Cricetulus griseus: one gene and its partner. The protein of the gene in region 2 purifies or fractionates together with the protein of the main gene of each other region. This does not show direct contact. Links are inferred from orthologs where the notes say so. Each region holds a gene or a part of one and is shown on either strand. Other genes may lie near its edges. The genes, in order: Mapk14 and Ptprr.

What was found.
Region 1: the proteins of Ptprr (region 2) and Mapk14 purify together in Homo sapiens (affinity purification with mass spectrometry; 4 studies listed by BioGRID and IntAct, counting the BioPlex papers as one, with this or other methods). This does not show direct contact. The link is inferred for Cricetulus griseus from reciprocal best matches to the Homo sapiens genes PTPRR and MAPK14.

Annotation. Positions count from the first base shown.
Region 1 is NW_023276806.1:233,801,233-233,805,837, reverse strand, and holds the start of Mapk14 (mitogen-activated protein kinase 14), read right to left. Parts: upstream 2,858-4,605; 5' UTR 2,687-2,857; coding exon 2,571-2,686; intron 1-2,570. UniProt on the Homo sapiens protein: Serine/threonine kinase which acts as an essential component of the MAP kinase signal transduction pathway.
Region 2 is NW_023276806.1:140,076,071-140,080,395, forward strand, and holds the start of Ptprr (receptor-type tyrosine-protein phosphatase R), read right to left. Parts: upstream 2,834-4,325; 5' UTR 2,562-2,833; coding exon 2,529-2,561; intron 1-2,528. UniProt on the Homo sapiens protein: Sequesters mitogen-activated protein kinases (MAPKs) such as MAPK1, MAPK3 and MAPK14 in the cytoplasm in an inactive form.

The DNA of each region.
Region 1 (4,605 bases), about 94 Mb from region 2:
AAAGGTGTTTTCAGTTGTACCCAAAAAGCTAACTGAAAACACAACTTTAGGCCTGAAGAAATGATTCAGTGGTCAGTGCTCCTGTAGAGGACCCAGGTTCAATTCCCATCACCCACATGGCAGCTCACAACTGTCTGTAACTCCAGTTCCAGGGTCTCCATGGCACCAAGCATTCATGGGGTGCACATATATGTGTGTAAGCAAAATACCCACACATATATAAAATAAATAAATCCTCAAAAAAAAAAAAACCCAGCTTCAAATAACTTGAGAGAGTTATTTGCTCAGTCATCATGTACAATTTCAGCTGTCTTTTCCCCCATCGACAGGTTATAGGCTACACCTTACATCTCTGGTACAAACTCTTCGTCTCTGAAAAAGACATGCAAGGAACCGAATAGCGGTTGTCACTGAAGGAAGAGAAAACAGGGCTGGGGAACAGAAACAGAAGGCTTCCTGCTGCATACCTTTTTACATTTTATACATAATGAGTTGCTAATGAGTTGCTTTGTGTTGTTTGTGTATTGCTGGGGATGGAATGCAGGGCCTCCCATATGCAAGACCAGGGGCTGTAGTATGAGTTACATCACTGGTCCTGTATCACATACTTTTTTTGGTTTTTCAAGACCAAGACAGGGTTTCTCTGTGTAGCTTTGGAGCCTATCCTGGCACTCGCTCTGGAGACCAGGCTGGCCTCGAACTCACAGAGATCCGCCTGCCTCAGCCTCCCCAGTGCTGGGATTAAAGGTGTGTGCCACCACCGCCCTGCCCTGTATCACCTACTTTTAAGAAGCTGTTTGGTACAAGTCCTTTCCAACTGTGAGGTGGTGCTGAATTCTATTTCATAGAAAAGAACAGCACCAGAGGAAGTGAGCGTAGTTTTAATGGCACTTCACCACTGAACTTCATTGCAAACCTGGCTCTTCGGCCAGGACAGCAGTGTCCATAGGAAACCTTGCAAGTTCACCCACCCAGATGGCCTACAGTGGAGATACTCTGTTTCACCACTCCCTGAACATTCAAATGGAAAGCAAAGCCTGATACTCTAACAATTAGGAATGACGGACTGAGGTATGCTAATGAGCTATTAAATATTAGAGAATGAAGATAACAGTCGCAAATACACATGACAGATGTGTGAACTGCCATTCTGTAGACATGGGAGAAAGACGTCAGGGTTGGTGCCATCTGCAACATAACTTAAGCAGCTTGCGCCAACAAATGCAATATGATCTGTTGCTGGACACTATTGCACAATCTCAATTACCCAGAAGGTTCTACCAAACAGGAAATTCATGGTGTGACTTTAAGTAACACAGGACTCATACCTAAAGATTAACACATGCAGAACCCTGGAATTTGTTACAAAACAAACCATTTCACAAACCTTCGAAAACAGGAGTGTATATAAATTACTAAAGCACGTGAAGAGCTAAGCTGTTGAACCTCAAGAACCAGAGCTCTAAGAAGACACTAAGCCTAAAAGACACTGTATGAACCCTGGAGAGTTCCTAATCACTTCTGGAGTGGATATTTTATAGTATGGATTTAATTTGAAACCCACTCCCAGGGCCTTGCAAAGGTGGTAAAAGCCTTTATTCCAGGCCAGCCAGAAGAGTGAAGTTCAGGGCAGCCAGGGACATACAAAGTCTCAAATGAACAACAAAGAATCAAGAATCACGGTGTGAATGACAGCTGAGAAACATTGTTTCCTTTGCTCTCACCAAAGCCACGTCCCTCAGCCCTGGGAAAAAAAAAAAAAAAGCAAGCTGATAGCGCGCCCCTACAAATCTTCAAAGGGACTTAAAGAAAAGCATCCCAGGAATTATTTCAACTAAAAAGCTATTTACACCTCCGATCACTTGATCTGGAGTCCCTGTGGCCCGCATGGGAAAACTGATTTGTGGAGCAACACTGAAATGAGCAGTGGTGTGTGACTAAGCGGCGAGCGGTGGCGTCCTTGCAGGCGCTGCCACCCTCCCGCCCCGAAAAGGAAATACGCTTTCAACCGAATCGGAAACACAGCACGCAAGCTGGCACCGCGCTCGCCGAGATAAAGTCAGCATTCTAGGCTCTTCGGGGTGCTGCTAATTCATGTGCTAATTCCCAAAGAACGCTTCCGGAGCCAGATTTGTCCCCCCTCCAGATGGAGTCTTGCAAGAAAAAGGAAAAAACAAAAACAAAAATCCGGGAAGGGAGCGCTTTTTTTTTTTTTTTCTTGCAAGTTTCGTTCCGGTGACCGCAGTCGCGGGGTCAGGCTGTGTGCCCTGCCGCTCCTCGCAGAGGCTCCGCCCGGCTGGCTCGCCCGCTCTCCCGGGGCTGCGGGGCTGCGGAGGGAGCCCGGGAGGGGCGCAGGGTGGAGCCCGCGCGGCTGCACCCGGGTGGGTGAGTGAGGGGTGCAGGGCCCGGCCGGGGCAGAATTCCTGCCGCTGGGCGCATCGCGGAGCCGCGGGCACAGGCCGGGCCTCAGGCTCGCACGCTCGCACGCACGGAGGCTCGCACGCAGGCACGCAGGCAGGGCCGCCCCGCCGGCTCCGGCGTCCCCGGACCCCAGGCCCGGCGACACTCACCACACCGAGCCGTAGGCGCCCGAGCCCACCGGGGACAGGTTCTGGTAGCGCTCGGGCACCTCCCAGATGGTCTTGTTCAGCTCCTGCCGGTAGAACGTGGGCCTCTCCTGAGACATCTTCCAGCGGCGGCCGGGGCCGCTGCCTGCAGCCGCACGCTGTCTGTCCTCGGCGCTCGCCCGCCGCTCGCCCGCCGCTCGCCCGCGCGGGGCTGGCTGGACGCCGCGGCCCCTGTCAGAGCCGCGGGCACGCGCGGGAGCCGGCTGTGCGGCTCGAGGCTGCTCCCGCCGCTGCGCTGCAGCCGCGCCGCGCCGACGCCGCACGACTCCCGCTCGCAGCGCTGCAGCGCCGCCCGCCCGCCCGGGCTCCCGTGGGCTGGCTCCGGCCGCCGCGCTCCTCCCGGCAACGACCGGAGCCTCTCGCGGAAGTCTCGCGAGAACAACGCCCCGTCCCGCCCGCGCCCACGGCCCCGCCCCGTCCGACCGCCCCGCCCCGCCCCGCCGGGATCTTACCCAATACGGAACCCGCCCGTGGGAGGGGCCGCTGCGAGCGCGCCGGAGGCGGCGCCTCTCGCGAGAACACGGAGCGGGCGGGGCTGGCAGGGCTTCGGGGCAGGGGCTCTCGGAGGAGGAGCGCGGGGAGGATGGAGAGGACGGAGGAGGAGCGCGGGGAGGAGCGCGGGGCGGACGGGAGAGAGGAGCGCGCGGAGGAGCGCGGGGCGGAGGAGGACGGGGAGGAGGAGCGCGGGGAGGAGCGCGGGGCGGACGGAGAGGAGGAGCGCGGGGAGGAGCGCGGGGAGGAGCGCGGGGCGGACGGAGAGGAGGAGCGCGGGGAGGAGCGCGGGGAGGAGCGCGGGGCGGACGGGGAGGGCGCAGCGCGTGCCGCGCGCGCCTCGCTGTGGTCGGCTGGGCGAGCGCTGGCGCCAGGGCGGCAAAGCTGCCGGCCCCTGGCTGCCCAGGGACGGACGGACGGACAGACGGACGGACTGATGGACGGACGCTCGCTGCCCCTGCCCCGGAGCCCAGGCCGCCCCTCCAGACGCCCAGGAGCCCCCTTCAGTTTTCTCAGGCTGAAGAGCCGCCCTGGACGTTTCAGAAGCAAATTCCAGGGGCCGGGCCGGCCGGGCTCGGGGCCTGCGTAGCATTTGCGAGGTCCTGGGTTCGATTCCTGTGCTGGAAGGGACAGGGACGTATGTACCCATGCGCGCACACACATGCACACACACACACACACATGCACACACACACGTATGCGCGCACACAATGCACACACACGTATGCACGCACACACATGCACACACCACACACACACACATGCGCGCGCACATGCACACACAGACACACACGCGCGCGCACATGCACACACAGACACGCACACGTGCGCGCACACACGTGCACACACACGCACACACACGTATGCGCGCACACACATGCACCACATGCTCACACACACCACACGTATGTGCGCACACACATGCACACACACATGCTGGTAGGTCATTGTATTCCAGGAAGGTCTCCTCTTCCATATATATATGAATATAATGTATATGAATATTTTACACACACTATATATATTTTATTTATATATATTTATATATATGTAATATATATGTATATATGTAATAAATATATATATGTAATAAATAAATGTAATAAATATATATTTATTACTCTCTGTGACCCCAGCAGTTGGAAGGAAGCCCAGCCTCTGCTGTGCAATGAGTAGCTAGCAGGCAGCCTGGGCTGCTTTTCTGAAACACCCAAAACCCATTCCTGGGGTTTGAGCCTGACTCCTGCCCATGAGAACCATCCCGACTGTAGAGATTTAAAGGAAACTTTGGAGACTCCTAAGAATGTGAACTCAGAGAATTTTAAAGACTTAATCCCCGCCCGGGCGCATGGGGAACGGGGCAGCGAGTTCTGGCAGCGCAGCTTGGAGACAAACCTGCTGACCTGAGGCCCCGGCTCGACTTCCCACGAGAGGTCAAGCATCCCCCCGTCTTGGAAGCTGAAGATAAACGTGACCGTGCGCGCCT
Region 2 (4,325 bases):
TAAATGGTGTCTAGAACTTCTTACAAATAGACATCCAAGAGATAAATTAGAAGTCTTAAATCCCCCAGAGAACTTGCTTTCTAGTCATAAACTGAGGTTGTTTTAAGCCACCAAATATATAGATAACATATTAAAATGAAGAAATTATTAATCCATACTGGCCATTGGTGTTTTATTCGATATGAGGAAAAGAGTCAGATGGCTACTCTCCTTTTTTCTCTTTAATGTTCGTTCCAGTATTCAGACAACAGGGGTATATTACTTCCAGACTTGCAAGTGATCACATATAAAAGCTTGAGCTATGAAAGGGCATGAGACCACACAAGCTCTAAAACACTTTCTGAGTGGTTTGGAGTCTAACCCTGCATGGATGGATGTCACACATTTCTTTCTTTTGATTTCCACCAAGGAGGAGTTTATATTTCACTTCAGTGAGTGTAATAGGACTCTGCTTCCTCTCCTCTGGGGAGCTACACAATTCTTCAGGAAACATGATAAAAATGAAATGTGGTTTACTGGCATGTGTTTTTAAGATACAAGTAAAAATGCTATGGTTGGATGCCCTTGGTAATCTTGATTATTTTTGTCACAGTGGGCATTAACAATTTTCTGCATAACTTAAAGAGAACAAAGATGAGTGTAGAATAAGTTTTAGTGTGCCCTTGGTTCTTTTATCTGCAGAAGGAGATGGCAACAGAATAATAACCATATAATTTTCCACAATGTGTTATTGATTAGCACTTTCAGAGACATCATATTTCTAGCAAAGCAAGATCCTGAGTGTTGTTGTCTGCAACAAAGCTTTTATGCACAGCACGACTGCCAGTTTCATCTTAGTACGTCTTGATTCTTACAATGAGACTTTTCCTCCCTTTTAGTAAGATTGGGCTGTGATGTTTATTATGATTGCTCTATCTGTGATTTAATTATTAAATTGTCCCATAGAAGTAAATGAATTGATCAGAAGAACAAGAGGCTATATATGGCATATTCTTCCTTATTACAGCTAAATATAGAAATGGTTAATTTTATAACATGCAATTCAGCATCAATTATTAACTCAGTGATTCATGGTGATCATTTAAAAAGTTAAACTGAAGATTGTGGAAGCTGTAGGGGAAGGTATTTTGGTATCAGAAAGAAAAAGCCACATCTTCTTTGAAGCTTTACTATCTAGTATGTAAAAGTTTTAAATATGTAGGAAACCCTCTTCCTAATATAATTATATGTATGCATATATATAAATAATGTGGGTGTGTGTTCTAGACACTAAAAGAAAAATCATTGAAAACTCCCTTCTTTCTCCTTAGTCTAAAATATGGTTGCTAAACCTCAACTTCTACCTTGAAATTTTGGCCCTCATTTGACATTATTATCTGCTCATGTTTCATACTAGGGATCACTTAAAAGGAGAAAAAAAATCTGGCATCACTGTATTTTATAGGAAATGGAATTTGATTTCTCAAACTGGGTGATTGTTCTCTGCAATATTGGATTAGGCAGGAAGTTAATCCAATTTTATTAAAACAATGGATGGAAATACCAACTACATTATTTTTGACATTGTTATGGATTCTTTAAGACCACAGATAAAATCAAAACGGTCCATAACTTTGTTCAAATACCAGAAACACTAATACCATTTTAAACATTCAAACAAAAATTCTAATTTTTCATTGATGTATGTCCAGACCTTGCACACAGTGCCAAGAACCCAGTGGGAATTCAATAAATACTTTGTGAAATAAACCTCTGTGTAAACATTGTGTGAGGTTCTCTCTATCTGAGAATATTGTTTTCTATGCAGATTAAGGAATGAATTCATAAATAATTTTTGAATTTTTGAGTGATTGAGAGAGCTATGAAAATTAAAAGCAAGATTCTTGGTTCAGGGAAGGAAAACAGGGAAGCAGCCATTCCCAGCTGGGAACTAGGCCAGGGACATCTCATATCAAAACTTTCATTCATCAGTCTCTTTACTAGATCACAGCAGAAGATACTGACTGTCATTTTAGTGAAGTCTGTATGTAAAGGTAGGGGCCCCAGATGCCTCCATTGTACAAATGTCTAGATTTCCTGGCTCAGCTCACTGTAACACCTTCTTTCATTTTCTGATTTTCATAAATGCGGTCATCTTTTCCCCAGTGTTAGTGTGGGGAATACACTAAACAAAATAGAAAAACAACAAACAAACAAACAAACTAAAACATCTGCCCTGCTTTCTATCGTGTATGAAACTTTCGGGTTCTGTTCAAGTGGATGCATTTGCCATTCCATTCTTTGGAGGTGGTTGTTAGATTTGCTCCAGACTCCGGAGGATACTGAGTCATTACTGTTGAGACACACTGGATAACCGCATAGGGTTTCTTCATTTCAGACTTAGAGGCTAACTCTGTTTCTCTGAGAAGAAAAAGGTTCTCTGCTGACTCACTTAAGCAGCCACCAACAGAAATCCCAACGTTATGCTCCCGACCTCACGGCATCACCCCGACCACCCTCACCGATCCCGATGGATTTGATTCTCTTACCGGAATGGCAACTGGCTGAATGTTGTGAGGCATCCGACTTCCATTTGTATTCTTCTTGTTATTCCCTCACCATCGCAAGTTGCACTAATAAAGGCTGTGAGCTGAGCTGAAGCCTCGTTTAGTCACCTGGAGCTAACCCGCTGCTACTATTTCTAGAGACACCGCCGATCCCTGGTCTACAGCATCAGCCTGTGCTTTCCCTGGAGACCCTCCAGGTGCTCACTGTTTAAGTTTACTAGCATTGAAATTCATGTTTTTTTTTCTTTCCCCATGGTAGTTAGTGAAACTGTAAAATGAGAATTTTATGAACTGTGGACACTGTGTTGCAAGAGAAAAACGTTTCCTTTTTTTCCTTTAAAAGAAAATAGTATGTTTACAAGATCTTTTCAGAAAAAAAATAAGTTCTCTTAAAAGTGATGCCATGTTCATGAATAATTTTCCCACTGGATAACAGGGGTCTCACAGACATCTAATTTTAACTCTCTATGACTTAGGAAACATTGATATTCACTTATGTATTGAAGAGGAAATTAAAATGACTGATAACAAACCCAATTAATGAGTTGGATATTCAACTATATTCTGGTCTGACTCAAAAACTAATTTGTTTCCTACCATACCACTTAGGTTTAATACATGATTCAAAATAAATAATTGTTATAATTATTACTATTAACAAAGTATTTAGTTTGAAAATAAGATACTATAAAGGCAAGGAAAACATTTTCTTTGTCTATATGTGCTAATGTCATTCTCATAGGGTAAAGAATATTTAAACACTTTGAGAATCCCACTATCTATGCCATAACTCTAGTAAGACTTTGATTAAACTTGTTTACACATTGCTGGTAGTAAGATAAATTAATTTTTTAAGAGCACCAAAGCACTCCCAATAGTATTAAGATATTCATGACCTTTGACCCAATAATTCTCCACCTGAAAATGTATCTTATTGAAATGAGTTCAGTGAATAAGTACTAAGATTTTATTGTCTAAATTTTATTTAAAAAAATCAGAGGAAATCTTAAGGAGCATCAATAGCCAAAGCATAAATAAATTTGGATATGCCAATGGAAGGTAATTATTGGGTAATTTTCTCTCTTCTATCATTAATCTGCCACTAGAAACTAGATCTTTCTGGAGTGGATCAAATGTCCTGATAGTCTTCATACTAAAACAAAGCCTTTGGTCTCAGTGGCATACACCCATAACCTCTGTGCGCAGGATGCAGAGGCAGGAGGATCTGTGATTGAAATGAAAGACAAAAACACATAGTGAGCTGTAGGCCAGCCTGGGCTACAGTGTGGAGACTGATTGCAAAACATAAACAAAAACCCCATCTAAAGCTACACAAACCAAAAGGTTTTCTCATCCAGCTACCCTTCCTTATGTTATCCCTTTATAAGATAAATCGTTGCATCATTAATTGTTTTTCATTTCTTTTCCTGTCTGCCAGATTCCTAAGCTGGGGACATGATTCTGGAGTTTCCAACAAGTCAGGTTCAGCCATTTACCCCAAGGAAAGCCAGAAAAAGTAATATGAAAATGGCAGGGAGGGATTTTAATCAAAATGGCCACTTTGTGAAAATACAAATTAAGTATCCTGGTCTATCTGTGAGGTACTGACATAAGATTTAGGTTTGAACAGAAGGGAGCTTGGGGCAGTGGGGTGGAAGGATCTCATAATAATAAGCAGCCTTGGTTAGGCTGTGGCCTGGTTGTTCTTATTCTCCGTTTCAGCTTTGCAAGCTAGCCTTGGGGGCCAGTGCAGTTTTACTGATATGATTGCATCTGCCT